Linked DNA regions of Sus scrofa. The protein of the gene in region 3 purifies or fractionates together with the protein of the main gene of each other region. This does not show direct contact. Links are inferred from orthologs where the notes say so. Each region holds a gene or a part of one and is shown on either strand. Other genes may lie near its edges.

Region 1 (7,823 bases), on a different chromosome or scaffold from region 3:
CCGAGGGGTGTGGGCTGGGGGGCTGGCAGGCCTGGGTCGAGTCCCAGGTCCTCCACCTGATTGCTAAGGGACCTGGGCCTTGCAGCCTCCCTCGGAGCCTTGGTGCCCTCATCCTGCCCAGGTGCGTCCGGGGCGCCAGCCTGGGGCCATCCTGTTCCAGGAAGAGCAGGTGCACTCGTACCCCTGGGCAGCCCTGCGCACACAAAGCGCAGCCTGTGCCCCTTGCCACATGACCAGCTGAGGACATGCGAACCTGCCGACCCGGTCCTTGGGGGCTCGAGGAGGCACTGCGGGGATGGCTGGCCAGCAGGTGCAGCCCTGCTTCCTTCCCTGCCCGCGCCCTCCCTCCAGCGGGCAGAGCTGCAGAGGGGCGGCTGCTTCATTCCCTCACATGTCTTCACAGCTCCGCGGACGTGGAGACCCGCTTGCGGATCCCTGAGAAATGGTGTGCTTGGCCCTAGCGACAGACAGCCACGGGTGGAAGCCACACTGGCCTCCTCCCACCTCAGGGCCTGTGCACTTGCTGTCTCTACTCAGATGTCCCCTCTTCAGAGAGGCCTGCCCTGACTGCCTCGGTTTCCCCACGGTGCTCGGCAGCACCTGTGCCTCCACTCTTCCATGTATCTGCAGACTGTCGGTGTCCCTTTGCTAGAACGTAAAAGGCCCACAAGGGAGGTCTTCAGGCTGTGTCCCTGTACCCCAGGGCTCAGCACAGGCTGGACATGCAGTAGACGCTTCGGAATTGACAGTCGATATTGTCAGTGAAACAGATCTGGGCTTCATGGACCAGGTCATGTGGGGAAGGTGGTGAGCTCCCTGTCCCAGGAGGCATGTAAGCACAGTTTGGGGTTCAGGGTCTCATGCAGGTTGGATGGGCCATGGGCTCCTGTGATGGTCAGAGCAGGACTCGTGCAGGCTCGTGGTGTGGGGTGTTCCCAGGATTTGCAGCATGGCGCTCCCAGAATAAACAGGCCTTTAGAGGGAGGTTTGAAGGTAGAGCCAGGGAGGGCGGGAGGGGGCTCAGGTTTCCTGTTGGGTCCTGATGGAATCCGGGCAGGAGAGGAGGAAGGAGAGGAAAAGGAGGGTCTGGCTTGGGGAGGGCGGGAAGGTGAGGAGGGGGGCAGGCGGGCCCACCTGTGCCTCTCTTCCCTGCGTTAAGGGCACGCGGGCCGCCCCTCCTGCCGGCAGCTGAGCCTGGGCTCACTGGAGGTTGGGCCCCACTTGGGGGGAACCCTGGCCAGCCTTTCTCCCGGGAACTGGGGTGAGACAGCGGGGAGCTTCCTTAAACAGTGTGCCCTGGGCGCCTTTCTCGCCTCCCAGAACCCCCTCCTCCGAGATCAGGGGTGAGGGACTCCCCTGGGACTACACAGCAAGGGAGGGCTGGGGCGCAGGTCCAGCCCCTCTTGGCCCTGGCACCCGGCTGCTGCAGAAATTGGCTCTATGTGTGTGTGTCACGGGGGTGGGAAGTCCAGTCGGGCCATGAGTTCAGGGGTGGCCCTCTGCATGCCACCAGGTGCCTGTTCCTCACTGCATCTTAGCTTAGGTTGTGTCTCCCGGCCTGCCTGGGGTGGGCCCCAGGAGGTGGCGGCAGGGCCGCTGGGAGCCTCTCCTTCTGCCTCCTTGGTCTGGATGCGTTGGGGCAGGGCATGGCCAGGTGAGAAATGGGAAGCACAAGAGTGCGGAGAAGGGCAGAGGAAGGTGGCTCCGGTGGGGCGGCCGGCCACGGCCCTGCTGGTCCACCTGCCAGGTCCTGGGCTCACACACGGGAGCACAGTGAGGACAGGACCTGCCGTGAGTTTGAATTCAGACCTCGTGTCTTCTGGTCTCAGTCAGGCGAGGTCAGAGCCTTCCCAACAGCAATGTCTTGTGTGACTTTTCGGGTGAGGGCCTGGCAGAGGAGAGAGGGAAGTGGAGGTGCTGGAGAATTCTGCTGCCCTCGTTACCCTCCCGCACGGCCGTGGCCACGGCAGGAGCCGGGCAAAGGGGGAGCGTGTGTGTGGGAGAGGCAGCCTCCTGGAGAGGGAGAGCATCCGGCCAGGGCTCTCCGGCCCCCACCTGCCACCGGCCCCCACCTGCCACCGTCGGCTCCATCGGCCCCTCTAAGGCTGCGGGAGACCAGGAGAGGGAGCAGGGCTGGGCCCAGCTGTGGCTGGAGGCCGGCTTGAGCCCTGGGGTCTGTTTGGCCGCAAAAGCCCAAGCTGGCAGCCTGGGCTGCTGGCCAGGCTCTGTCCCTCTGAGTGTGTGGCGCTCTGACCTTCGAAGCCGAGAGAGGCCCAGGTGGCCCCCCAGCGACCCCGAGCCTGTCACCCTCCGCCCCAAGGCCTGCCCCACCCCACAGCGAGTGAGTCAGGCTCCCCCCTGAGACTGCTGGGGAGTGTGGGGGTGGGTTCGCCTTCCCGGACCCCCACCCCAGACCCTGGCCCCTCTGCAGAGGGCGTCAGCTCTGGCTGTGCACTTGCGGTGGGGCTGTCCCTTCCGCACTCGCTCAGGCTCCAGGCAGTGGCCCGGCCCCGGCCCACGGGGTGGGGACTCACGCTGGGGCTGCCGTGAGGGGGAGGTCCCCGCCCCCACGGCCAGACAGCCCTTCGCCTCACTTGAGCCTGCACCCATTACTTGTCCCCGTCGATGCAGGGAAACGTGCTCGTCCCATTTTCCCGGAGCGCACTGCGACTTAGCGCGGTTGAGACCCGCGGCGGAGGGCTGGGCCATCCCTGGCCCACCCCCGGCCCCGCGCCTCTCAGCCCCCGCAGCCCCTTCGGCCGCACTCTCGGAGATGGCGGGACGTGACCGCCAGTAACCCTGCGGACGTCGGCGCGGGGCGGGTTAAGGGCCGGCGTCCGCGAGTAACCCCGGCCCTCTGCGGCCCCGCGGGGCGCAACCCGAACCGCGCGGTGGGGGTGGGGCGGGGCCGGGGCGGGGCCCCGGGAGGCGGTGGCGCGGCCGCTGATTGGCCGCGCGCGCTCACCCCATGCCCGGCCCGCGGCCCCGGGGCGGGGCCGGCCGGCGGGGCGGGGCCCGGGCGGGGCCGGCGAGGGGCGTGGCCGGCGGCGGGCGCTCGGGGCTTTCGCTGCTTTAAAGCGCGGCGGGCCGGCGGCCCTCGGCCGGTGGAGTCCGCGCGCGGAGACCGGCGGGCCAGCCGCCTGGACGCCCCGAGGGGCGGCGGGCGCGGGCCGCGGAACCATGGACTGCACGTTCGAAGGTATTTTTTGAGGACCCCCACCCCTTTATAGCAGAGCTTCCGTCTCCGCCGTGGGGTCCGTGCCCCCGTGCGCAGGGGGGCGGCCGGAGCTCCGAGTGAGAGCCCGCTCCTGAGGGGAGGAGCACCCGCTCCCGGCTCTCCGGGGACCTGGCGGGCCCTTCCCACCTCCGCAGTCACCCCCACCCCAAGCTCCGAAGCGAGAGGGCAGCTCTCCCACATCCCCTGCCGCCCAGGGAGAAGGGCCGCTCGGGCCCCCCTTTGGGGGCGTATGGTGGGCTTGCCGGACGGACAGTGGAGCCCTGGGTTCGGGCGCTTGTTCTTTCTGGGCCTCAGTTTCCCCATCCGTGGAAGGGGCTCAGGAAGCCTGGGCGAGGGGCTCCAGCCGGTGGAAGCAGCCTGTGCCAGTAGGCTAAGGGGTCTCCGAGGGCCCAGGAGGGCTCAGCCTGGCACCCCCCTGCCCTGCTCTGCCGGAGGTGTCGCAAGGCCCCCTGCGCAGTCACTTTCCCGCCGGAGCACCTGTCAGGCAGTGTCGAGGCCCCTCTCCTGCCGCTGGCTGCCTGCCTGCGGAACCTCTGGCTGCCCTGCCACAAGGGCTTTCATCTTGCTGTTGTGCACATGAGGAAACCGAGGCCCAGGGGCAGAAGCCACTGGCCCACACCCCACCGCCCGTCGGTGGTGGGCAGAGCTGGAAGCTCAGGCTGGGGATCACACTTGGGGTTCCCACAGTTTGCTCATGGGCCTGCAGAGCACTCCGACCCAGTGGGTGGCTCCCCCAGTGGGTTAAAGGGCCCTGGGCTGACCCAGCCGGGCTGCTACTTGCCTTCTGGGGGAGAGGGCCCGTGGCCGGGCTGGGGCTGTGGGAGGGAGGGTGTCCCAGGCGGCACGAGGAGGAAGGGGAACAGACAGCCAGAAGCGACTGCTTCTGTGGAGCGGAAGCCGAAGCCCAAATGGCCGGTTCCGAGGCTGCCTGGCTGCAGACGGGGCTTGGGCTTGTGCCCAGAACACGCAGGGATGCACTGGCTGGCGCACGCGGGGCAGGGGCTGGCTGGGGCTCCCCAGAGGGCTGGGTTGGGGAGGCAGCTCTGGAGCTGGTAGTCGGGGCCCAGGCCTCGGAGGGCCTAGCCTGCGTGGCACTGGCTCGTCCAGTGTCGCAAGGCTGTTTGATGCACCAGGCAAAGCTCCAGATGTCACAGGGGCCAGGGCACATCTGTGTCCTCGAGCATGGGCGCCCGTGTGTGGCTTTCTGTCTTGGTGGCGTCGCTCCCACGTGTTACCACGGTGTGGACGAGGGCCGCGCAGATCCGTGACGCCGCCTCTCCTCCCCTCAGACATGCTTCAGCTCATCAACAACCAAGACAGCGACTTCCCCGGCCTGTTCGACGCGCCCTACGCTGGCGTTGCAGGAGGCACGGACCCCACCAGTCCTGATGCCAGCTCCCCAGGCAGCCCGACGCCGCCTCCTTCCACCATGAGCTCCCCGCTTGAAGGCTTCCTGGGGGGGGCCAGGACGCCGCCACCGCCCCCCGTGTCCCCAACCCAGCCTGCACCCACCCCGCTGAAGATGTACCCGTCGGTGCCTGCCTTCTCGCCTGGGCCGGGCATCAAGGAGGAGCCAGTGCCACTGACCATCCTGCAGCCCCCCACCCCACAGCCCCTGTCTGGGGCTCTCCTGCCCCAGAGCCTTCCAGCCCCCGCCCCTCCGCAGTTGAGCCCTGCCCCCGTGTTGGGCTACCCCAGCCCTCCTGGAAGCTTCTCCTCAGGTAAGGGGGCGTGTGGAGGGAGGGGGCAGCGGAGCACAGGGTCAGGGGGCTGCTGTGGTCTGACTGGAGGTCCCACTTGGTGGCCTTTGGGAACAGGGTCCCTGCTCTGCTGCTTGAGGCGCCCCCGTCCCTAGCAGCACCCGGGCTCCTGTTGCCGGCGCACTGCCCCTGCTCCCCTGGTGTCCGCAGCAGCGCTGCCCTTGCGCAGATAAATGCGTGGCTGGGAAGCCAGCACACTTGCATCAGAGCCCCAGGCAGGGCCTGTCCAGATAGGCCTGAGGCCACAGGGGTGGTGACTCATCCAGGGTCACACGGTGATGAGGACGGGGCAGGACGGGGCGGGTTGAAGGTGGGTCAGGGCGGCCTGTGTCCACAGCCCCAGCCTTTGTCTCTGCAGCGACCCCTCCAGGGAGCACCTCACAGACGCTGCCTGGCCTGCCGCTGGCCTCTCTGCCCGGGGTCCCGCCCGTCTCCGTGCACACCCAGGTCCAAAGTGCGGCCCCCCAGCAGCTGTTGACAGCCACGGCCACCCCCGTGGTGTCCCCTGGAACAACCACTGTGACCTCGCAGATCCAGCAGGTCCCGGTGAGGGGGCTGGCCAGGCACCAGGGAGGTGGCAGTCCCGGCCAGCCCCTGAGCCCCCAGCTGAGCCCTCTGCCTTCCTTAGGTCCTGCTGCAGCCCCACTTCATCAAGGCGGACTCCCTGCTCCTGACGACCATGAAAACAGACATGGGGACCCCTGTGAAGGCGGCGGGCATCGGCTCCCTGGCCCCTGGCACAGCCGTGCAGGCAGCACCTTTGCAGGTGGGCAGCTCGGGCCAGGCAGGGGGCATGGGGTCTGCATGCATGCCTGCCTGCCCTAACCGTGCCTGGGCCCGCAGACCCTGGTGAGCGGCGGGACCATCCTGGCGACGGTGCCTCTGGTAGTGGACACTGACAAGCTGCCCATCAACCGCCTGGCAGCTGGGGGCAAAGCCCTGAGCTCAGGCCAGAGCCGTGGTGAGAAGCGGACGGCTCACAATGCCATCGAGAAACGCTACCGCTCCTCCATCAATGACAAGATCATCGAGCTCAAGGACCTGGTGGTGGGCACGGAGGCGAAGGTGCGGGCAGAGGCCCTGGCAGGGCGGCCCTGGGGAGGGCCGCCTGGAAGGCAGAGGCGGGTGGGGCTGAGCCTGGACAGCCAGGGCCCAGGGGCTCCGTCTGTTGAGCTAAGCTTCATGGAGGCGCGTGTGCTGCGGGCTCTCCTAGGCGCTGGGGACTCAGCAGGAACAGACAGGCACCCCGCTGTCAAGCACCTGTGCTCCTAGCAGCGTGCCAGGGGCGCCAGCAAAGAGGACAGATGGCCTGAGTGCTGTGCCAGAAAGAACGAAGCAGGAAGAGGGATGGTGGGAGTTTCACATCTGAATCGGGGTCGGGGGGGCCTCACGACGGTGTCGTGGTCTGAAGGGGGCTCGGGAGCGAGGCATGAAGGTGGTGATGACAGTGACGACAGTTAGTCAGACGCTGCTGTCAACCCTTAGGCCCAGCCTGGCAGGTAGGTTCTACCAGGGCAGGAACCTTCCGTGCAGAAGGAATAGCAGGTGCAAAGGTCCTGAGGCCGCTGTGTTGCGGAGCAGCCCCGCTCCCTCTGGCTCAGGTGCCCGCTTGTCTGGCCTGACCAGCCACCTGTGCTGTCCCCCTCCTACCCCTGCAGCTGAATAAATCCGCCGTCTTGCGCAAGGCCATCGACTACATCCGCTTCCTTCAGCAGAGCAACCAGAAGCTCAAGCAGGAGAACCTGAGTCTGCGGACTGCTGCCCACAAAAGCAGTGAGTCCTGGCCTCTCTGGCCCCGCCTGCAGCCCTGTCCCCACCCTGGTCTCACCTTAGGCTCTGGCCCTGCCAGGGCCCTTAACCCCTTCCTTGGCCTTCGCCTGGCCCTCCGCTCAGATCTGGGGCGAGGTGGGCGTGGCGCTGCCGCCCAGCCCTGCTCCTTTCTGGCCTGCAGAGTCTCTGAAGGACCTGGTGTCCTGCAGCAGCGGAGGCCGCACCGACGTGCCCATGGAGGGTGTGAAGCCGGAGGTGGTAGACACCCTTAGCCCGCCCCCCTCCGACGCCGGCTCGCCCTCCCAGAGCAGCCCCTTGTCCCTCGGCAGCAGGGGCAGCAGCAGCGGTGGCAGTGGCAGTGACTCAGAGCCCGACAGCCCGGTTTTTGAGGACAGCCAGGTCAGGCCCCGCAGGTCGCCCCTCCCCGTCATCTGGCAGTGTCCTCTGAGCCACGGGGCTGGCTCAGGCCCGGGCACGTCCTGCCTCGCGTTTCGCAGACAGAGCCCTGTGGGGCCCCAGGGTGGCGCACGGAGCACTGACCCCTCCGCCCCAGCCCAGCTTTCTGGCCACTCCCGCCCCGTCCTCACCCCTCCTGCCCCGTCTTCCCCCCAGATGAAGCCAGAGCAGCTGCCGGCCCCCCACGGCCGGGGCATGCTGGACCGCTCCCGCCTGGCCCTGTGCGTGCTCGTCTTCCTCTGTCTCTCCTGCAACCCCTTGGCCTCACTGATGGGCAGCTGGGCTCTCCCTGGCCCCTCCGATGCCACCAGCGCCTACCACGGGCCCTGGCGCAGCGTACTGGGCGCTGAGGGCAGAGGTAGGCAGGCCGGCCGTGGCCGTGGGAAGGAGGCTCCTGCGGATCTGGGCTTGGGGCTCTGGATTTCCTGGGAGCTGTGTCCTCAGGCTCTGTCTGCCCTCAGATGGCCCTGGCTGGGTCCTGTGGCTGCTGCCCCCGCTGGTCTGGCTGACGAATGGGCTGCTGGTGCTGCTCTTCTTGGCGCTTCTCTTTGTCTATGGAGAGCCGGTCACGCGGCCCCACTCGGATCCAGCTGTGCGCT
Region 2 (7,179 bases), on a different chromosome or scaffold from region 3:
AACCCATAAAACCGGAGGCTGTCTTCCCACACAGAGTCGGTTTTCTTTTTCTTTATTCCCCAGTACCTGGCTAATTTCACAATATCCTTGTTCCTCTCCAGCCCAGGGCCTCTGCACACCTGGCCTGGGCCTCTGTCTGTGGCCTCTCCTCTAGTAACTCAGGGGAGACGGGAGAGATTCCAGGGGTCAGGGGATTTCAAAAGCTCATTACCTTTGCATCATCCAACAGAGGGCTTCCTGGCTCAGAGTCGATGGAGTAGGGGGAGAAGCCCGCCTGGGACCCTGAGTCAGAGGCCGGAGGTGACATCAGAAGGACATTCTGATTAAAGTCATCAATCTTCAGGTCCACGTCATTGTCCACCAGGCTGCCCAGGTCGATGCCTTTCAAGAGCTCTGCAAAGAAAAGCCCACCTCGCACATGGTCCGCTTTACAACGTCCCACCTGGGCTGGGGCGGGGCTGGGTGAGGGACGCACCACCCCAGCCCCTGCCCCTGCCCCTGCCCCTGCTTCGCCCCTGAGGGCATCTACACATATCGGTGAGAAGTCCCCCGTGCCCAGCACAGGACTCGGCCCACAACCAGAAGATCTGAAACCCTTTTCTCAACGAGCACACTCACTGTTCTTCTGATTTGCCAGCTTCAGCACCATGTTCTCCTGGCGCAGTTTATGATTGACCTGCTGCAAATACTTGATGTAGTCAATGGCCTTCCTCAAAACACCAGACTTGTGCATCTGGGAAGGGAGATGGGTGAAAAACACAGCAGCATCAGATCAGCCTGCAGTGAGGAGAGCAGAGGCCCTGAGCTCAGGTTCTGGAGTGGGAGGTGCAGGGTTCAGGTTCTCACTTTTAACTGTGCAACCCAGGACAAGTTACTCAATGTCTCTGAGCCTCACTTTCTTTCTTTTTTTTTTGACTTTTTTTTGCCTTTTCTAGGGCCGCTCCTGAGGCATATGGAGGTTCCCAGGCTAGGGGTGGAATTGGAGCTGTAGCCACTGGCCTACGCCAGAGCCACAGCAACGTGGGATCTGAGCCGCGTCTGTGACCTACACCACAGCTCACGGCAATGCTGGATCCTTAACCCACTGAGCAAGGCTAGGGACTGAACCCGCAACCTCATGGTTCCTAGTCGGATTTGTTAACCACTGCGTCATGATGGAAACTCCCTGAGCCTCACTTTCCTTCTCCATAAAAGAGTGATAATGACAGTTTTTGAGTCATAGGCTTGCCGTGAGGCTTAAATGAAATAATATGTGTAAAGAGCTTAGACTCTGGCCTAGCACACAGTAACACTAAATATTAGCTCTTACTCCCACTTCTTATAATAATTCTAGCATCAAAACAAACTTTAAGGAAAACAAATGGCAAGCAAAAGACCAGAGCACTGCTGGATGGTTAAGTAAAGGTATATTAGTACCTTTCAGATTTGCAGGCTAAAAGGAAAATTACATTTTCTTGCAAAATAGAGGTAAAAATAAACAGATAATAGGAAAAAAAACTCCTATGTGCCAAAGCCAAAAGATATATTCAGTGCAACACCAGAAAGGTATGAAAAACCAATCTACTCTACCTGCTCTTGGCCATTTTGTCTCTTCCCTTAAGGTTAAAATATTGCGAGCCATCCCTGAATACAATCAAACACATGTCAAAAATGCCATTAGCTGACTCAAAGGTACACTCGGCCGGGTACTTGGCCTTCGGTGAGCAGCCGGTGTCTGTGACCATCACTGCAGAGCAGAGTCAAAGGTCCAGGCAGGCCACTGCTTTACCAGCTCCCCGACGGTTAATATTTAATCATCTTGGAATTTAAGACACAGAGATGCGTTAATAAGAAAGCACCTCTAACTTTCTTGCCTTCACTCAGCTTGGGCCTGGCTCTTCCCTGAATTCCCGCAGCAAAGACGGGAGAGATGATGGGCACAAACGCCATTCTGCTTGGCACCTACCTTGGCATCTGTTCCCATGACCAGGTCCTTCAACTCAATGATTTTGTCATTGATGGAGGAGCGGTACCGCTTCTCAATGATGTTGTGTGTCGTCCGCCTTTCTCCTTCTTTGGGGGGCTCGAGCTGCTTGACCCCCCCAGGCACCTGCTTAATGGGCACTTTCTCTTGCCCCATCATCACAGGCATTGTGGTCAGAATGGTCCCATTGCTGCCCACCAGGGTCTAGAACAGACACAGATGCAGAGCAGAGGGACTGCTTGGTGAGTCTGAGGAAAGCGACCTCGAAACACAAACCTGCTGGCCTCGGCCACGTGGCACCACCTGAAGATGCGCTGTGTGGTCTGACTGCCTTCCTGGGTTAAATCAGGTTCAGGAGCCTTAGGAGCCACCGTACCTCAGGTGCTCTGCCCCTTTCCAAATCACTGCTGATTAATCACAGGCCACACTAGCATTAGCACAGATAAATGCTAACCTTTTCTTTTCTGTTTTTGAGTAAATGCTGACCTTTGAGGTAGGGGCGTCTGAATCACGTCATATGCTTTGCTGTCACGCTGTTACCACCCCGCGTTCGCACGTGGCGCACCAACCACATCACTGGCCCTAAGGAAAGCTTTCTCCTGGTGTAGGACACATTTTTCCTCTCTCATGCCGGAGAAGTAACTTACTGCATTTCCTCATACAATTCGACCATCAAAAGCTCAAGGGCAGAACTGACAATCAAGAGAGGCTTTTTATTAAACAGACTACAGAGGGAGGGATCCCCCTCAAACCTGCTTTCCCACTCTTTGTTCCTATTTTCATTAATTTTAATTTTATTTTTGCTTTTTAGGGCCGTACTTGCGGCATGTGGAAATTCCCAGGCTAGGGGTTGAATCGGAGCTGCAGCTGCCGGCCTGCACCACAGCCACAGCAACGCCAGATCCTTAACCCACTGAGCAAGGCCAGGGTTCGAACCCACATCCTCACGGGCACTATGTCAGGTTTTCAACCTGCTGAGCCCCAAAGGGAACTCCAAAAGGGATGATTTTTCAATCTGACTCTAGAGCTTCTGCATCTATTCAGCATCTGGAGATTTCGTTAACATCTCTGAGGCCTAACACCCCCAAGAAAGGGGGTGGGGGCATCTCTTACCGGTACTTGAAGGGCAGCCGTCTGGATGGGGGTGGTGAGGGCAGTGAGGGCTGGGTTCTGGACTGCAGCCATGACAGGGCTGCCATCTGTCTTCAGTGTGGTCAAAACAAGGGAATCGGTTTTGATGATCTGAGGCTGCACCAGGACCTGGAAGCCAAAGGAAGAAAAGGAAAAGGAAGGTAGCATGATTTTTCTGTCTTGTATTACTTCTTTTTCTTTTTGTCTTTTTAGGGCCGCACCTACTGCATACGGAGGTTCCCAGGCTAGGGAGCTAATCGGAGCTGCAGCTGCCAGCCTATACCACAGCCACAGGAATGCCAGATCCGAGCCGCATCTGCGACCTACACCACAGCTCAGGGCAATGCTGGATCTTTAACCCACTGGGTGAGGCAGGGGTTGAACCCACAACCTCATGGTTCCTAGTCGGATTCGTTTCCCCTGCGCCAAGATGGGAACTCCTCTACCTCGTATTACTTCTTACTACATGGACCCTCTAGGAAAGAATGATAGAAGTTTTATAAAACTGAGAAGACAGATTAATTCCTAGGTGGAGGGGGAGAACGAGTACCATTAAAGAGGATTCTGGGTCCTAAGGCTAAAGGCTGAGGAGAGCAGAGCCAGTGGCCCAGCAGCAGGGAGAGAGCAGGCAGGGCTTGGGGTGGATGGCGGAGGGAGAGAGCCGATTTCAGGCAACTTAGGAATGCTTAGAAACATGGCTGAGAAGCAAAAATGGTAAACCTCAATTTTTGTTGTTGTTGTGCTTTTTAGGGCCACACCCATGGCACATGGAAGTTCCCAGGCTAGGAGTTGAATCAGAGCTGTAGCTGTCAGTCTATACCACAGCCACAGCAACTGGAGATCTGAGCTGCATCTGCAACCTACACTGCAGCTCATGGCAACACCGGATCCTTAACCCACTGAGTGAAGCCAGGGATCGAAGCTGCATCCTCATAGACGCTAGTCTGCCAAATCACAATGGAAACTCAATTTTTTTAAGAAAAGGTAAATTACTTCCTTAGTAAGAAACAATCTAGGAGTTCCCGTTGTGGCACAGTGGTTAACAAATCCGATTAGGAACCATGAGGTTGTGGGTTCGATCCCTGGCCTTGCTCAGTGGGTTAAGGATCCAGCATTGCTGTGAGCTGTGGTGTAGGTGGCAGACGCGGCTCAGATCCCACGTTGCTGTGGCTCTGGCATAGGCCAGTGGCTACAGCTCTGATTCGACCCCTAGCCTGGGAACATCCATATGCCGTGGGAGTGGCTTAAGAAAAGGCAAAAAGAAAAAAAAAAGAAACAGTCTATGGAGTTCCCACTGTGGCTCAGGGGATTAAGGATGCAACATTGTCTTTGTGAGGATGTGGGTTCAATCCCTGGCCTCGCTCAGTGGGTTAAAGATCTGGCATTGCCACAAGCTGTGGTGCAGGTCACAGATGAAGCTCTGATTCAACCCCTAGCCTGGGAACTTCCATATGCTGCAGGTGTGGCTGTAAAAAGAAAAAAAAAAAAGGAAAAGAAAGAGAAAAAAGAAAAAGAGAAAAGGAAGGAAGGAAGGGAGAAAGGCAGTCTGCTATAGTACAGACTTAAAGATATTCTGGCACACTTCTTTCCAGTTTTGTTTTTTTTCTCTTTTGGCTGTGGCATGTGGTAGCTTGACATGGGATTTCAGTTCCCAGACCGGGGACTGAACCTGGGCAACAGTATTGACAGCACCCAGTCCTAACCACCAGAGCAGCAGCACTCCCTCTTCCCAGGTTAAAAGCCCTTGTACGTGTAGCGCGTACACCAGCAGGCACCGAGTTTGTGGGAGTGCCAGTGCTCACCGACAGACGCGACCTGCCTGGGGCTCAGGGGTGCCTCGCTAAGGTTCAGGCACCTCTACCTGCCCTACAAGCTGCTCCCTTACACTCTGCTGGCCTCAGCACACAGACCAAACCAAAGACCAGCCCACAGCCCCAACTGGGGCCACCCTGACTCCCTGTCAGCCACCTACCGGGACCTGCTGCACCTGGGGCGCAGCAACTGTCTGCACCGTGGCCGGGGCGAGGGTCTGCAGCGTGCCGCTGGCCGTCTGCGTCAGCACCCGCTGCGCCTGCACGGTCTGCACCTGCTGCTGGATGGTGACCGGCTGCACCTGGGAGGACGTCACCAGGCTTTGGACTTGAGGCTGAAGGACTTGGGAGAAGAGGAGCAAAAAGTTACTTGGACGAGGACTGCACTCTGTGACTGTGGCTGCAGCACGAGCTGAGGACGGAGGGCCTCACGCTGCCGCACCTTCCCACCTACTGCGCAGGAAGATGTGCACAGCCATCTACAAGTTGGTTAGGGGGCACGAACACCCCATGAGGGCTGCATCAACTTCCAAGAGAACAGTACAAATGATTTTACTGCTCTGGGTGCTGGGCTGGAGGTGAGGGAGGCTCATCGGCAAATGACTGCACCCGGCAAGGGAGTGAACAGACTCTGGGAAGGAACCAACACCTCCCTGGGGCTTCATTTCCTCCCAGGCAACGAACAGCAAGCGTGCTTTGGGATGACTGACTCTGCCTTTTGCTTTTTGCCTCCCCAGCCCTTAAATTCCCTGAAGCCCACAGAAGAACTGTTAGAGCCTCTGGAATTAGTGGAGCAACAGTAATCCCACCCAGGGCTCCCCACGGGGTTGGAGGGAAATGTGATGAAAGGTGCTGGGACACAGCACAGCACCCAGAGTCACTCATTCACCAGTGCACACCAAGGGCCCACTGTGAGGCCAGCGACACAGAGACACGGCGCCTCGGTTAAGAAGCATAGTCTTCTCCATACTGGATGCTCAGGAGATGCTTGCTGGATGAGTGGTTCTCAACCCACTGGTGCTGAGATGTGCCTGGTGCCTGGGTAAGTTTCAAGACTAATTGATTTAAGCCTCCACCTCGAGTTACCAGGACGGCCCTGGGTCTACTGTGCCTGCTGGAGTCTTTGACCAAGTATCCTTGAAGCAGGCACAGCAGACATCTAAGCTGTTTGAAAAGGCTGAATGTGAACTGTTCTGGCACCACTCGTCTTACTGCCAGTTACCAAAGCCTCATTCAGACGGGACCAAACTGACAGATCCTGCCAGCCCCAAGGGGAAAGAACGCTACAGTCTGCCTCGCGAGTGTCTGCACGCTGGCATGTAAGCTTCTGAACCAACCAAGCACTCCCGTGTGGAGTTCGGAGTCACCTTGGAAGCTGGTAGCTGCATTCTGGTATATCAAAGGCTGCTGGATGATCCTCGTCTGGGGAGCGGTGCTGAAGGTCGGGGTGATCATGACTGTCTGCTGCTGCAGCTGAGCAGGAGGCTGGGGCTGGGGCTGGGGGCGGGGCTGGAGAACAGGGGTCGCCCTGGGCGGCGTGGGAACCGAAGTGGGGGGAGCCTTGACTTGGAGGGCTGGAGCCTGGGGGGAGGTGGTCGAGGGAGAGAAGGAAGGTAACGGGACCTGGCTGAAGGACCGCTGCATTGAGGGGTCCCCGGCTCCGCCACCACTGCTCCCGCCACTGCTGCTGCCGCCACTGCTGCTGCCACTTCCACTGCCGCCCGGGAAGGAGCTGCACAGCTGCTCTGAGAACAAGTCGGGGAACTCTCCCACTTGATTGCTGACAAACTGCAGCATCTCTGTGAACAAATGGAAAGGAATACTTTCATTGCCACCCAAACTGCCTACTAACTTTCAAAATGCCTTAAGAAATGAGGCATGAAATCCAACAGCTTTCCCAGGACCACAGCAGAAATGGGTCACCTCCCTCCCCTAGGGGGATGCCACTGGGCCGAGCTGGCCCACCAAGGCAGACTGGGACAGAACTGCATCTGTCTGACCTCCTTCTCTCTCCCTACCACGTCCAGGCCCTTCCTACCCACTCTGCTGATTGTCTGTATCAGGCCTAATAGGAGCTATCTCTGCTGGGCGAGGGTAGCTTCTGGAGGACACTGCTGGTCCCTTTCTACAGCTGGGGTCATCGCTCTCCTTAGTCTTTGGAGCTCTGAGGCCTTTGTGCTGTGAAGCCACCTCCAGTCTTGGCATTGCTCCCCATGGCGGAGCAGGAGCCATGTGGTTCTGGCTGCACAGCTGTGCCAGACCCTAACTCTGCTC
Region 3 (7,774 bases):
TGGCTGTGGCATAGGCCGGCGGCAACAGCTCCAATTAGACTCCTAGCCTGGGAACCTCCATGTGCCGAGGGTGCGGCTCTCAAAAGACAAAAGACAAAAAAGTAAAAAAATGAAGAGTTGTCAGGGTCAAATAATTGATGACATGTAAGGTTGCCTTGACTTTTAAGCATTAGTTACTGCTGCTATTCTTTTTTAGTTTGTCTTTTTTAGGGCTGCATCCAGGGCACAGGGAAGTTCCCAGGCTAGGGGTCGAATTGTAGTTGCAGCTGCCGGCCTACACCACAGCCACAGCAACGTCAGATCTGAGCCTCATCCACGACCTACCCTACAGCTCACAGCAGCGCCAGGTCCTTAACCCACTGAACGAGGCCAGGGATTGAACCTGCATCCTCATGGATACTAGTCAGGTTGTTAACTGGCTGAGCCACAATAGGAACTCCACTGCTGCTGTTCTTATCACCTGGCAAACTCTTACCTTGCTAGGTCCTATTTCTACATCATCCTCTTCGTGATTCCTACTCTGGTTCCCTGCTATCCCACTCCCTTCCACTCACAGCACTTGGAAGCACAGAGGCAGAAGTTCAGGGGCTTTGGGGTTGGTCAGATCGACGTTTGATGCTGCCACTGCATGAATTCAACAATTTGTTAAAGCTCTGGGTTCTTTAGAGTTTGCATCCTTGAAATGGAGTGTATCTTACCTGCCTCTAAAGGCCATCATAAGGATTACGCAAGGTAATATGTTGTAAAGCCCATCTCTGGCAAGGAGCCAACATTCAACAGTTTGTTGTTATTATTGGCTGCTATTATGACCTCTGTAATACTCCTTGTCATATTTGCCTCTATGGTTTTGTTTAAAGGTATGTGCTAATTTAACTTTGGTAGTGCAGAGAATAAATGTACATCCCTGGTTTCTGACACATGGTAGGAAATTGACAGCTAATAAAGGCAACATGGAGATTTTACTTTTTTTTTTTGGAGATTTTACATATTTTTATTGACTATCATGTTTATTAGAACAGTTGCTGCTTATTGGAATCTAAGCATTTTACATGTGTTCAGACTGATTTAATTGTTTGTGTTTGTTTTGTCTTTTTGCTATTTCTTTGGGCCGCTCCCACGGCATATGGAGGTTCCCAGGCTAGGGGTCAAATCGGAGCTGTAGCCACCGGCCTACGCCAGAGCCACAGCAACGCAGGATCCGAGCCGCGTCTGCACCACAGTTCACGGCAACGCCGGATCGTTAACCCACTGAGCAAGGGCAGGGACCGAACCCGCAACCTCATGGTTCCTAGTCGGATTCGTTAACCACTGCGCCACAACGGGAACTCCTGATTTAATTGTTTTGAAAACCAGAGAGGTCAGCTTCCTTGGTTGTTGCATCTTGGGACCTAACTCTTATGTCCAGTTTCCCTGAGGTTAAGTTAATTTTCCTGGCCACGAAGCAGCTTCTGCCGTGTGTCAGAACCAGAATTCAAATAGAGGGAATCTGAAGCAGCCCTTTCCACTTTAATCACGTTGTGAGCTTCTATTACTAATGCTTAATTCATGAGGAGCATGATCATTAGTGCAAGCGGTTGCGAAGACAGAGCTCTATCTTCATGAATCACCCTTCCCTGTGTCCCTGACAGGCTGAGGTAGCTGAGCAGTGGGCTGGAACCCAGAGTCCTGTGGCTGCCTGCTTGGTCACTTATCAGCGTGACCTCGGGCAAATATTCTCCCTTCTTTTTTGTCTTTTCTAAGGCCACACCTGCAGCATATGGAGGTTCTGAGGCTAGGGGTCTTATTGGAGCTTTAGGCACCTGCCTACACCACAGCTCATGGCAACACCAGATCCTTTACCCACTGAGCAAGGCCAGGGATTGAATCGGCAACCTCATGGTTTCTAGTCGGATTCGTTAACCACTGAGCCACAACAGGAACTCCCGAATATTCTCCCCTCTTAAGGAAGTTTTCTTTATTTGTAAAATAGACCCAGCCCCTATTTTTCAAGAATGTCATGAGGTTTGGCCCAGCATGGAATCTATGTACTGGGAATTATCCCTTCTGGATGATCCCTAAACTTCATTTATTCTTTTGCTTTTTTTTTCTTTTTAGGGCCACACCTGCAGCATATTGGAGGTTCCTAAGCTAGGTGTCTAATTGGAGCTACAGCTGCTGGCCTACACCACAGCCACAGCAATGCGGGATCCGAGCTGCGTCTGAAACCTACGCCACAGCTCACGGCAATGCCAGATCCTTAACACACTGAGCAAAGCCGGGGATTGAACCTGTGTCCCCATGATTCCTAGTCAGGTTTGTTAACCACTGAACCACGAAGGGAACTCCTAAACTTCATTTAGTTTTTTTTTTTTTTTTAATTTTGAATTTACCATGGGGAGCAACACAAAGTAAGGTTGAGCTTTGGCTAGATAGAGCTAAATGGAGCTCGTGGACAAAAAAAAAAAAAAAAAATTGCCTACCATTTCACTATTTTAAATAAGCAATGAATGTGGCCCATTGTCAAGCCATCAGTCACTGCAGCCATACACTTCCCATCAACGGTGCATCCTGAGGGGAATTCAGGATAGAGAAAAACAGGGTACTGGCCCTAGATATTAAAATGCATATCAGGAGTTCCCGTCGTGGCGCAGTGGTTAACGAATCCAACTAGGAACCATGAGGTTGCGGGTTGGGTCCCTGCCCTTGCTCAGTGGGTTAACGATCCGGCGTTGCCGTGAGCTGTGGTGTAAGTTGCAGACGCGGCTCGGATCCTGCGTTGCTGTGGCTCTGGCGTAGGCCGGTGGCTACAGCTCCGATTTGACTCCTAGCCTGGGAACCTCCATATGCCGCGGGAGCCGCCCAAAGAAATAGCAAAAAGACAAAAAAAAAAAGAAAAGAAAAATGGGTATCATGTGTTGTTTTTTTTTTTTCTTTTTAGGGCCACACCTATGGTACATGGAAGTTCCCAGGCTAGGGGTTGAATCCGAGCTGCAGTTGTCGGCCTATGCCACAGCCACAGCAATGCAGGATCTGAGCTGTGTTTGAGACCTCCACAGCAGCTCGCAGCAACCCTGGATCCTTAACCCACTAAGTGACGCCAGGGATCAAACCTGTATCTCCATAGATACTAGTCGGGTTCACAACCCACTGAGCCACAAGAGGAACTTCTCACGCACATGTTCTTGCTAATTCCCAGTAATGTGGTTAAAACTCTGGTGCTGTGCTCAGGTCTGTCCACCTCGCCCCGCCCCGCTCGCCGACCCTGCCCCGCCCCTCTCCCTCGGGTCAACTGGCCGATGTCCACCTGGGGGCGAGCGAGAGCCGCCGGCGAGGACTGGACTACGCATGCGCGCGCCGCTGGGCGCACGTGCGAAGAGCGGCGGGGGCGGGAGGGGAAAGGTAGGAGGTGAGAGGTGAAGGGGCGGAGAGCTGCGCGGGCACTGGGCCTCTGGGAGAGAGAGGGCGGGCGCCACGCACCGGACCGCGCGGGCTGGGAGCGCGCACGCCGTGTCCCGCCCCCGTCCTCGCCGTCGCCGCTGCAGCCGCCCGGGAGCTGTTTCCGCCACAGGTACCGCTGCGCGCGTCCACACGGCTTCTGTCCGCGGGCCGGGGCTCGGGCCTTTGGCGCGCGGCTCCAGGAGTTCCGGGATAGGGGCCGCCTGGGGCACCGGCGAGCGGGCGTGGGCGCTGTCCAGCAGCCATGCGGGCCAGGCCGGGAGACCGCAGCCTGGAGAGGGTGCCGAGTTACCGCGTCCCCACCCCCACCCCGACCGCGCCCCCCGTCGGGGCCAGCCGCGCGCCCACAGACCTCACCCTGGAACCCCAGACCGCTGTTCGAGAGGAGGTCGCGCCGTTGTGCCCCCTGGCCCCGCGGTCCCCCGGGAAGCTGCGGGTTCTAGAACCTCCTTTAATGTCTGGTTTTCCCAGAGTTCGAGGACGCTGTCCGCTCTTGTTTTTTCCTGCAAGATCTAATCAAGAGGCAACGCACAGCTTCTTTGCTGGGTTTTGCTTGGCTTCTAGTTTTCTGTATTGCTTATACCTAAACATTGCTCAGTGATGTTGCCTGTGTTTAGGTGGTTTTATTTCTTCAGTATGTCATCCAGGCTTGTAACGTCAGGATAAAATTAGTTGCAGGGAGCCCTGGATCCAGACTGTTTAAACTGCAGGTCGTTGTACAGGCGAAAATGCTCTTGGCCGAGGGGAGCAGAGAATCCCTTCCTGGCAAGAGTTTTCTGTTTTGTGCCACCTACTCCCCCACCCGTGGTGACAGAGCTGTGGGACTAAACTCCTTCTGGGGATTTTGTAATAATTTTTGTGAAGAGGACATGGAAAAGATTTCATTAATGATGCTAACTTTGGATTTCTCACCACATGTTTGTGGAGTTTGGTTGTGCGGTGTCCTTATTGGTGTGCTGCCGTTTCAGAGTATTGTGCTAAAAATGGAAGCTTTTATAAGGTAGTCAAGGTCAAGGGTGTCTATTTGGCTGTATGTTTTAGGTGTTACTGAATAATGCCTAATTGACCACTTGTTGTAGTAGTAGTACTAGTACTAGTACTACTAGTAGTATTGACCCCACTCACTTCATGTGAAAGTTCCCAGGCCAAGGATGGAACCTCTGCTCTGGTTGTGACCTGCACCACAGCTGTGAGAATGCTGGATCCTTAGCCCACTGTGCCACTCAGGAACTCCACACCTGTATCTTTTCTTTTCTTTTTTTAAATTTTTTTGTCTTTTTAGGGCCGTACCCTTGGTATATGGCAATTCCCAGGCCAGGGGTGGAATCAGAGCTACATCTGTCTGCCTAGGCCACAGCCACAGCAACACAGGATCTGCGACCTACACCACAGCTCACAGCATCACTGGATCCTTAATCCACTGAGCAAGGCCAGGGATGTAATGCATGTCCCCATGGAAACTAGTTGGGGTCGTTACCACTGAGCCACGACGGGAACTCCCCACCTGTATGTTGATAGAGTTTAAGTTGTAGGTATTTTATACATTTGCAGCATCCCCCCGGGCACATGATGTAAAAAACACAAGATATATATGAATTTATCTCTACATTCAATTTTTTGGTCATTTATTGAAATGCAAAAGATTATTTCTCACTTATTGTGAATTAGTCTGGTGTTTGAGAGCTTTCTGTTTTCTTTTTGCTGTTGTGGCAAAAACAACACCTCTCCATTGTTCTCCATGTGCTTTATAATCACTGGTTTTGGGGCCTCCTCTGCCATCATCTGGATTAGTTCACTGTTGAGAGGTGGGTATAAAAAAATCTCCTAGTTAATGACTAGAAAATGGAGGCATAAAGATTGTGAGTTGCTTAAGGTGATCTATGAACAAGTAAACTGTCCAGTTGGGAAATGAGCTGTACCTGTGAGTTTTGGTACACATTTCATTTATTAGCATTTGGTGATAGACTGCAGGGATGCTTACTTTGAATGTGTCCCAAGGACCCTGGCCTGACACTTAGGTTTATGTGATCTTTGTTAACCCTCACCATTGGTGGCCATTTGCTGGCCACCAGTGTTAGTTTTACTGGATTTGACAGGTACTTCCATGTACAGTTTGTGTCACCACTCCCATCGAACAGATGAGACTGCTCCCCTGCATAGAGAAACTGAGTTGCCATGGTCACCCAGGTTGTCTTTGGGGGTCAGACTTTCAAGCCAGGTCTGCGGGACTCTACCACCTAGCTACTTCTGCTGTTACTTGCTTCCTTCCTGAGTTGGATAAAGTCCAGGTGACTTTTGCCACCTGAAGGAATAATTCTGGGTAAAATATTTATTGAGCACTTGTGTTGTCTAGATTTCATGCTAGGTGCTCTAATAAGTTTATCTCACTTAATCATCATAATAGCCAGGGGAGATGACACTGTTATCATCAGTGCTTTTACTGATTAGTTCTGGAGATGTTATCTGACCAGCCCTGGGTCACGTAGTGAGTTAGAGGCAGAGGCCAGGTACAAACCCAGGTTTGTCTAACAATAGACTCCGTGTTTTATGCTGTTCTTGCACCTGCTGGTCCGCAGTCTTCTCCATTGTCTTCCACGTTAAAGGTAGCAGAAGAGGGTGTTGGGGTGAAGGGAGGAACTCAGTGTCACAGACTTGAGAAAGAGATAATGAAACTCAGCAGGAAGGAGACATTAATTTGACTATTGGGTGTTCCCATTGTGGCTTAGTGGGTTAAAAATCCAACTAGTATCCATGAGGATGCAGGTTTGATCCCTGGCGGGTTAAGGATCTCACCCACAATCTGTGGTATAGGTCTCAAATGCAGCTCGGATCCTGCATTGCTGTGGCTCTGGTGTAGGCCAGCAGCTGTAGCTCCAGTTTGACCCTTAGCCTGGGAACTTGCTGATGCCGAGAGTACGGCCTTAAATTTTTTTTATAAAAAAGTCAAAGAAAAATTTCGCTGTTGTCTTTGACATTGTCCACTTGACTGGTCAGGGGTACTACCTGAAAATGCTTGTGGGGTTGCTGGGTTATGCAGCTTTGCAGGAGAGTCCAAAGAGGGGGTATGCCTAAGCATCAGGGTGCACGTGGGTCTCAGGAGAAAAAAGAGAACAAAAAACAGTCTGTTTATTTTTATTTTATTCTTTATTTTTAGGACCACACTCGTGGCATATTAAAGTTTCCAGGCTAGGGGTCAAATCCGAGCTGCTGCTGCCGGCTTACGCCACAGCAACGCCAGATCTGAGCCGCATCTGTGACCTATACCACAGCTTGTGGCAACATCAGATCCTTAACCCACTGAGTGAGGCCAGGGATCTAACCTGCATCCTCATGGATTCTAGTTGGGTTCTTAACTCACTGAGCCACAGTAGGAACTCTCAGTCTTTGTTTTTAATTTATCATTATTGAAATTTTGTTATGGGAGTTCCCATTGTGGCTCAGTAGTAACAAACCCGATTAGTATCCATGGGGATGTGGATTCGATCCCTGACCTTGCTCAGTGGGTTAAGGATCGGGCAGTGCCACAAACTGTTGACATAGGTCACAGAAGCAGATCAGAATCTGCATTGCTGTGCTTGTGGCATAGGCTGGCAGGGGCAGCTCCGATTTGACCCCTAGCCTGGGAACCTCCATATGCCAAAGGTGCAGACCTAAATACAAAACAAAACAAAGCAAATTTAGTATGTATTTTTCTTTTTTTTTCTTTCTTTTTTTTTTTAGGGCCTCACCCACAGGCTAGGGGTCTAATTGGAGCTACAACTGCTGGCCTATGCCACAGCCACAGCAACGCCAGATGCGAGCCATGTCTGCAGCCCGTACCACAGCTCATGGCAACGCCAGATCCTTAACCCACTGAGTGAGGCCAGGGATTGAACCTGCAACCTCATGGTTCCCAGTCGGATTTGTTTCCACTGTGCCATGATGTGAACTCCTATTATGTATTTTATAATGTACACTTCATATTAGCATGGTAATGCTATAAATATAAATGTATTTATTTAATATAATACACATACACTTATAATATAATATAAATATTTATATTTAAATATGCGTACATTGAGGACATATGCTTGAATTTTCATTGTTTGGGGTTCATAATCAAAAACATTAAGAATGACTGGGTTATTTGATATTTAGCATTTTCTCTTTTTTCTTTTTTTGCTGCTTCATGGCATATGGAGTTTCAGGGACAGGGATCAAATCCTAGCCACAGTTGCAACCTATACCACAGCTGCAGCAACACAGCATGTGGAGGCTCCTAGGCTAGAGGTTGAATTGGAGCTACAGCCAACAGCCTACGCTGCAGCTACAGCAACTTCGGATCCTTAATCTACTG
Region 4 (7,962 bases), on a different chromosome or scaffold from region 3:
GACCACACACCCACTCAAGGATACAGCACTGGCGTGGTTGATGCCAACGAAAACCGCTACACAGCGCATCACACTGGCCCACTCCCTCTTAAACTTGTGCGGTTCTCCAAGGTGGCTGTCGATGCAGGGGTAGAGCAAGCCCACGACAGCTGTGAAAGAAGGGCAGACAGCAGGGTTAGAGAAACGGCCTCGACGTGGGGTGATGGCTCTGCGGCAATTATTAACACGCTGGTCAGACATTCCTGACTTCAGGGCTACAATATGATATTTCAATTAAAACTAATTTTACATTTTTATCCTTCTTGAGTATAAACAATAAAAATTTAAAACAAAGTTGCAGTTTGGTTTGCCCTATAGCAGGAATGGAGCAGGGGCTACTTAGCACGTGCAGGACCCTGTAGCGCCTGTGCAGTCGGCCTTCGGCCTGCATCGGTGTTGCTCCATCTCAGTGCAGAGGGGCTTCCATGAGGGCCCGGAGGCCACAGCACGGCCTGCCATCGATCACGACCCACACTGATGAGGGCACCTCTCTGTGGATCTGCCTTCACCGCCATCCCCGGAGGCAGCACTGCCCTGTTAGGGGTTCCTGCATTTTCCGCAGGAGCCCCCGAGCACGGGCTGTGGTGGGTCGGGGTCCCGGGGCAGCCACACCCGACGGTCCCAGAGCCCAGGCCCTGAGCGGGGCATCGCGTGGGAAAGGAGGGAACCGGACGCCTCCTGTTTGTTTCCTCAAGCGAAAGATGATGAGGATTATGGACCGAGAAGCCCGAGGAGGGAGCGCGTAGTGTGCTCAGAAGAGTGAGGCTGTCCTCAGCCGTGGGACTTCACAGAGAACTCAGACGGGGGAAGGCGTGGCGCTCCAGAGAGAAGTCGAAGGAAGGAAGAGCAGGAGAGAAGAGGGTGTGGTGCCAGGGCCCTCGTGAGGTCACCCCGCTGCTGAGGCTCATGAGCGTGCAGCACCTGCCGTCCCAGCAAAGACGGAACCATTTCAGGTTCCTGAACAGAGAGGCAGGCAGAAACACACTGTGGCCCAGCATTCAATGGGCAGAAACACACTGTGGCCCAGCATTCAATGAAAGAGTTTCAGTTTCAATTTCATATTACATTTTATCCAGTTCTGCTTTTGCATTTTGAAAAATGAACCCCAACCATTCTGTGACTCAAGTCAGTATAACTTAATCTTGCCCTTTAAGGTTAAAAGCTAAATAAGTGAAAATGTACTATGGAATTTCTCCCCTTATGCCCTTGACGGATGGTTTAAAAAAAAAAGTGAGTAAGGTATGAGAAGTTGTGTTTCAGATATGCCTGGAATTCCTTGAAGCTTCAATTGCAAATCAAGCCTAAACTAAAATGGTTCAGTGGTTTTAAAAATCAAGCTTTTGATTCAAAGAAACTATTGTGCCAAATGTGAATAGAAAGAGATGTTTCTCCAAAAGGATTAAGAGTAGAGCCATGAACTTAAAGGGGTTAGAAAAACAACAGTAGCCAGTGTTTCTGAGAACAAAGAGAAAAACCTTCCACTCTCTGCTTCATCACCATAGTGTCCCCGTCATGAGGCATCCTGCCTAGGACACAAGCTCCACTCCAAGCCCACTGCTTCCTTGCAGTTTGAAGTGAGCCTGCTGAGAAGACGCCCCTCTCCAGGGTGCAGGGGACACACCCAGACTCCAGGGGGCAGTATAGGCAGGGTTGCGAACGGGGACCTGTCACTCCGCTGTGCCCCTGCAGACACAGGAGCTTCACCTCTCTGATTCAGTTCTCGCCTCTGTGCAGTGGCGCTGAAGCAGAGCACTGCTGAAAGGACCAAAGGAAGCACAGCCTACGGAACAGGAGGCAGGGCGCTCGTTCCCTGGTGGCCCGTGGGGCCGACGTGGCGCTTTCACCGCTGCAGCCGGGGTTCAGTCCCTGGTCTGGGAACTGAGACCCCACATCAAGTGGCTACGCACCGCGGCCAAAAAAAGAAGAAAAAAGGAGAAAGATCAGAGCCCGCGAGGTCGGCAGTTCACAGAGGGGAGCTACAACGCGAGGCTGTCCGACGGGAGTGTCTGCTCCGTGCTTTACAGCCAGGCGGGCGGAGGCCACAGAGAGCACCCGGCAGGTGTCCATTCATCCATTAATTCGTCCACAGCAAATGCTGTGTGACCGGAAGAACTGAGTGACCTTCTGAGCCATTTTTATAAAACCAAATAACTGAGCAACCAAATAACTGAGCAACTCTACTCCAAACAGCCAGTCCACCTGTCCACAGCAGACTGCTGCCCCGGGGTCACGACTGGGTCTGGCCAGGGTGGCTCCTGTCCAAACTCTAAACAGAGACTTCCTTTTCCTTCATCCCAGAGCCCAGCGGTGGGGGCAAGGCCAGGCTCTGGCCACGTTCACTGGGCTGTTCCAAAAAAGGAAGAGCAGGAGGCCGCTGGGCTGGGGCAGCAGCTCTGCCCACTGGGCCCACGTGACGGTTTGTTTTCAGTTACCGGGCCGGTAGCGTGTTCCCCGGGGCAGCCAATGGCACTCCAGCCCCGCCGCTCACCAGTCCTGCCCGCGGCCAATCCGGGCAGCTGGTTAGGATGACAGCTGCGGGGCTCCCCCAGCACTGGCCTCAGGGCCGGGTCAGGAAGAGGGAAGGACCTGGCCAGCCTGGCACGAGCGGGCGAGAAGCAGCCAGTGGCCTCCCCGCCATCTCCACCACCGGGCCTCCTCCAGCCTCCAAGCCCCCTCCCCAAACACAGTCGCTGGGATGCACAGTCTCCTCTGTGGATGGTTCCATTTTCACACAAATGGTTCCCACAGGCTGAAAACCGCTTTTCACCAGACAGACGTCGTTTGTTTCTACTCACCAGCGGCCGTCCCACAGCAGGGAGGGACCCACCAGGCTGAGGAGAAGATGGTGGCAATAACCTCCTCGGGGAACAGGGTGACATTCCTCTGGACCTGCAGCAGGTTCAGCACCAGGGCCAGCACGACCCCCACCGAGAACAGCACCAGGCTCCTCTGCAGCAGGTGGTGATGCCAGCTGTTGGTGTGGCCGCTGCCACCATGGCTCCCCATGCCAGTGCTCTGAGGCGCATGAGAGGGGTCAGGGCCCTGGGCACCGTGGGCCACCAGCAGAGAGGGGCCTGACACAGAGGAGCTGATCATCTCCCCCACTTTGGCCTCCTGCCCTCTGGCACTGGCCCTGGGGTGGCCTCTGTGGTTCGTGCCCTTAACACAGGGACAGCTCCAGAGGTGGTCGTCCAGTCTGGGCATCAGCCACACCTGACAGGCTTTCCTAGAAGGAAAACGGGGGTGGGGAGAGGGAATCCCGATCAAGTTCACTTCCAAGGGACAGGGCAGGTTCAGAGAGGCCCAGAGACATGGCTCTGGGCACGTTCACTGGCCAGGAAAACCCCCGAGTCTCAGGGAGTCAGCCGCACAGGGTAGCCCACGGGCAAGTACTGCGGGGGAGGGGCTGCAAGGACCCTGTCCACACCCGGGCCCTGGGTGATGCACAGGCTGCAGCCACAGCCAGGTGTTAGCTACACCTGGGTGATCCCGCTGCAGTACCTCCTTGTATGAGCCCTGAAGTTCTGGGCCGTACAGTCCAAAAGTTTTTCAGAATCCGCCCGTCTGCAGGAGGCAGAGGCCAGCCAGCGGCAGGCCGCCCCAGGACAAGTTGCTGGGGTCGTCCCGGACGGAGAACAGCCCTGGCAGAGCCCACCTGATGTCGGGGATGCAGTCCCCCACCCCGCGGCTGGGGCTGGAGTCAGGGTGCGCACCCAGGCCCGAGGGTGGGTGCTGAGGACCCCAATGGAAGGCCGTCTAGAGGGGCGGCTGCCGGGACCTCGACATCCCCGTCCCCAGGGCTCCCCACCGCTCCCGGCCCAGTTTCCCTTGCCGCACCCTCGTACCTGGCCAAGGGCGCCCGCCCGCGGGCTCGCCGGGGGAGGAGGTCGCCGAGGAGAGTCGCGGCCCAGAACGCCTGGAGTTGAGCCCGCGGCCGTCCACGCGCGGCGCAGCTTATAAGGCGGGCGGTGATACCGCTGCTCACGTGACCCCGGCCGGGCCCGCCACCCCGCCCGCGCTCTCGGGGCGTGGCCCATGCGCGCCCCGCCCCGGCCGCGCGCACGGCCGCTCACGGTCTGGTGAGGCGGCCGCGGCCAATCGTGGGCGGGCGGCCCATATGACGTCATCACACGCCACCGCCGCCCCGAGCTCGGCGCACTGGCTCGGGAGCGCGGACGGCCGGCGGCGGACTGGCTGTTCCCGGCCCGGGACGGGGGCTGGAACTGGGCGCGGCCGGACGGGGCGGGGGCGGGGGCCGCACCGACGGCAGGCAGGGGTCGGCCGAGAGCATCCGGGGCCCCGGGTGGGAGGCGCCCCGCGCAGGTTCCCGGCGGACCGCGGAGAGAGGGCGATTTCCAGGGATTGGCAGCCGCGGGCCTGGAGTCCGGCGGCTGAACAGCTAGGTCGCCGGACCCTCACCCAGGCGTGGCGGTTGGCAAGCCTCTCCCCTGCGGCCGCTCCACTTGGTCACTCTGCAGCCGCCTGTGCCCTGAAGATGCTCTGACCTCTGGTCCTTGTCAGCTCTCTCAGTGGTGGCCGCACCTGCTCATGCAAAGCGGGTTCGTGTGCGCAGCGACCAGCAGGTGCTGGCAGGGAGCGAGGGCTCGGAGACGAGAGCTGTGTATGCTGCGTGCAAGGATCTAGGTGTTGTTAAGGGTGCTTTTATGTTTTTCTGCCACCAGCGTGGTTCAGAAAACTTTTCTGACATAAAATACTTACGAAAATGTAAATGATGAAATCGTCATTCATAAAATCGTTTCTTCTCGTTTCGAATTGTCTTTCAGTGGGAAACAAACCATCAGAACCACTTAGAAAAAATAGAACGCTGTTTTATCTTGTTGATGTAATGTATTTATATCCTGTTTGCCCCATGGTCACACCATCTAAATAGCAGGGCAGGCCCTGTGCCACCTGGAAACCCACATTTTGTTGAGCAAGATACTTAAGATGTCCTGGAAAGACAGTAGAGCAAGTGTGCGGCCTTTTCTCTCTGCAGGTGAGAGGAAGTCTGTGCTCTAATAGGGTCAAGAGAGCTCACAGGCTTAGGCGGTGTCAAGTACTGCATTGTGTGGCATCGTACCTCAGGGTTTGTGGTTTTTATGGCAGAAGGTTGGAAAAAACCTTCCTGAGGTATCAACATTTCTCAGACTTCATTTTTAGGGGCTGATGGGGTGGGAATTCACATGAATTTGTGATGGCCATCAGGAGACTACAAAGAAAAGCCATGCCTGCAGTGGATGGCTCACTCTCCTGGCCCCCAAGGGTGATCCGTTAGGTGACTGGTCAGGCAGCGCTGTGCGAAGACATTTGCCGTGGAGTTCCCTTGTGGCGCAGTGGGTTAAGGATCCGGCGTTGTCACTCCTGTGGCTCAGGTTGCTGCTGTGGCACGGATTTGATCCCTGGCCCGGGATCGTCCACAATGGCAGGGAGTGGCCGAAAAAAAATTTTTAAATTAAAAAAAAAAAAGGCATTTGCCTTTTTAGTGTGTTACTGTTGCCCCAGGATCAGTACTGGTTTCCCTGTCACCTCTGCCTTACCAGCCAAACACACCCTGGTTGTGTAGATGTCCTACCGCTGTCCATGACGCCAGCAGGAATTTAACCCCATCTTTTATGATTCAAGCATGAATTAAAAGTGTCGGGAGTTCCCGTCGTGGCGCAGTGGTTAACGAATCCGACTAGGAACCATGAGGTTGCGGGTTCGGTCCCTGCCCTTGCTCAGTGGGTGAAGGATCCGGCGTTGCCGTGAGCTGTGGTGTAGGTTGCAGACGCGGCTCGGATCCCGCATTGCTGTGGCTCTGGCGTAGGCCAGTGGCTGCAGCTCCGATTCGACCCCTGGCCTGGGAACCTCCATATGCTGCGGGAGCGGCCCAAGAAATAGCAACAACAACAAAAGACTAAAAGACAAAAATAAATAAATAAATAAATAAAAGTGTCGTCTCTGTGGATTATAAGCAGAAATGACTCTCACAAACGATCATGTTCCATCAAGACGGCCTTGGCTAATAATGGGACTTGTTTTCTTTTCTCGAGCGTGACCAGACAAAGCAAGAGTGGCTGGAGAGGGGCCCCCATCCTCTGCTCTGCCTCCGGGTGAGCAGCGCCAGGCTTTCCTCTGTCCCAGTCAGCACCATACGCTTTGTTCAAAGCAATTTTGACGTCAAGGAATCCAGGTCTTGGCCATCATCGCCAATGCATCGTACACAAGTGCGTGAAGATAGGGGTGTGTGTGAACATGCACAGACTGTCACAGTAACATTGGAACTGGGTGGCCGCCAGAACAGAAAAAGCTGCCCAGCTATGGTTAGATAAACGATGATACCTCCATAGAGTGGGGGGCTGTATGGCCAGAGCCATTCCTTCCTCAACCATCAGCCTGTGCTGGGCCTCCCCTGCCCTCCATCGGCCTCAAGTCCTGCACACACGGGCTGAGAGGCCCTGATATGAACCAAGCTGTTAACCTCAAGGACATGCACGTACAGCACGGCCTCACCCCTGAAATGTCGGCGAGTCATGGATCCCACTGGGAAGCACCAGCAAATGCAGGAAGCTTCTCTCTGGCACATGTGCTTTCAGAACCTGGTCTGTTCAGGTACAGGAGGCCAAGTAAGCTGAGATGACCGCTCTTTACTTGGTACCGAGCAGCTGTATGCAGGGATTCCTGACAGCCAGAAAAAGGTGTGTCTGTCTGCTGGGATCTAGAATGGTTTTCTTCACCATTTTTCCTCCTGCCGTTCTGCTTGGCCTTGCTGACTATTCTGATATCTTTCCGTTTTAATCCTCCATGTGCCCAAGTACACGCTTCGTAAAAACACGGGTTCCTGTGCTGTCTGTCTGCTGCGTGGAAAAGGGCTGTCAATTCCGTTGGCTAATTGGTGTGTTAAGGTCTGTATTCACTCAGCCACCTTTTCCTCTTTACTGAAGCCGCTGGTGATACAGCCCAGCCTCTGACTCTCCATCACTTCTCGCATCTGTACTGAGACTTTGTGCACAGCAGCCTCCAGGGGCCACGCACAGGCCCCGTGGACCTGTGGGAAGGTGGGAGGGACGCCTGTGGGCTGCGTTCTGTCGGGTCCCTGCCGAGGGCTGTCTCTATGGCCTCAGCCTCTGTAGCATTTGTCACTGTGTCCCCGGGGTGGTGGTTGGCCTGAGGGTCCTTGGAGTCTGGCCCCGTGGGTGAGGTCCGTTTAGGAGATTGACAGCAGAAGAATTCGCACATTCCTCTCTTGGAGACCACAGGCTCGACGTCAGTGCGCTGAGTGTTCAAAACGCCCTTATCTCCAGGGAGGCTGTGATTGACGCAGCTTCCCTGAGAGTGTGGGACACAGTGGGATCTGTTCTCTCCAGCCCGATGAGTGGCTGCGAGGTTAGTGCCTGGGGAAGGTGTTCGGGAGGGTACCATTTACTCCTTAATGGTATCACTTCGTATTGGTGGCAGATATGCTCTCACACAAGGGGATCGTACTGTCACCTACAAACCCAAACCAGTGCCTCACCTCCTCCCCAAGTCTCTCACCAAGGTCAGGGCATGGCAGTGGGCGTCACCACAAGCCTCGGTTGCTCTTTTGGACACAGACGAGTTGTAGGATCGTAGGCAGGGTGCGAGGGTTTCTCTAAGGGCTCTGGGACATCATGTAGTGAGCAGTCTGCTGCCCTGAGTCTGTCTTCCTACCGTTCTTTTAATTAGAGCATGAATAACCATTTACAATGACTATTTTTAAAAATAGGGTAGATGATTATATTATTTGGTTTTGTTTTGCTTTGTGGCCGCGCCCAAGGCATGTGGAAGTTCCCAGGCCATGGATGGAACCCACGCCACAGCTGTAACCAGAACCACAGCAGTGACAACTCCAGGTCCTTAACCCATTGCACCACCAGGGAACTCCAAGTATATTATTTTTTAAGACAAAAACATCACATGCTT

The links.
Region 1: the proteins of SCAP (region 3) and SREBF1 purify together in Homo sapiens (affinity purification with western blotting; 4 studies listed by BioGRID and IntAct, with this or other methods). This does not show direct contact. The link is inferred for Sus scrofa from reciprocal best matches to the Homo sapiens genes SCAP and SREBF1.
Region 2: the proteins of SCAP (region 3) and SREBF2 purify together in Homo sapiens (affinity purification with western blotting; 3 studies listed by BioGRID and IntAct, with this or other methods). This does not show direct contact. The link is inferred for Sus scrofa from reciprocal best matches to the Homo sapiens genes SCAP and SREBF2.
Region 4: the proteins of SCAP (region 3) and INSIG1 purify together in Homo sapiens (affinity purification with western blotting; 11 studies listed by BioGRID and IntAct, with this or other methods). This does not show direct contact. The link is inferred for Sus scrofa from reciprocal best matches to the Homo sapiens genes SCAP and INSIG1.

The regions. Positions count from the first base shown.
Region 1 is NC_010454.4:60,738,241-60,746,063, forward strand, and holds the start of SREBF1 (sterol regulatory element-binding protein 1), read left to right. Parts: upstream 1-3,071; 5' UTR 3,072-3,180; coding exon 3,181-3,199; intron 3,200-4,527; coding exon 4,528-4,959; intron 4,960-5,356; coding exon 5,357-5,544; intron 5,545-5,626; coding exon 5,627-5,764; intron 5,765-5,841; coding exon 5,842-6,063; intron 6,064-6,656; coding exon 6,657-6,771; intron 6,772-6,949; coding exon 6,950-7,167; intron 7,168-7,380; coding exon 7,381-7,582; intron 7,583-7,685; coding exon 7,686-7,823.
Region 2 is NC_010447.5:6,751,727-6,758,905, forward strand, and holds part of SREBF2 (sterol regulatory element-binding protein 2), read right to left. Parts: intron 6,705-7,179; coding exon 6,273-6,704; intron 5,249-6,272; coding exon 5,067-5,248; intron 3,224-5,066; coding exon 3,077-3,223; intron 2,168-3,076; coding exon 1,946-2,167; intron 734-1,945; coding exon 619-733; intron 394-618; coding exon 212-393; intron 1-211.
Region 3 is NC_010455.5:30,316,148-30,323,921, reverse strand, and holds the start of SCAP (sterol regulatory element-binding protein cleavage-activating protein), read left to right. Parts: upstream 1-3,377; 5' UTR 3,378-3,547; intron 3,548-7,774. UniProt on the Homo sapiens protein: Escort protein required for cholesterol as well as lipid homeostasis.
Region 4 is NC_010460.4:2,894,799-2,902,760, forward strand, and holds the start of INSIG1 (insulin-induced gene 1 protein), read right to left. Parts: upstream 3,961-7,962; 5' UTR 3,885-3,960; intron 3,266-3,884; 5' UTR 3,244-3,265; coding exon 2,835-3,243; intron 150-2,834; coding exon 25-149; intron 1-24. UniProt on the Homo sapiens protein: Oxysterol-binding protein that mediates feedback control of cholesterol synthesis by controlling both endoplasmic reticulum to Golgi transport of SCAP and degradation of HMGCR.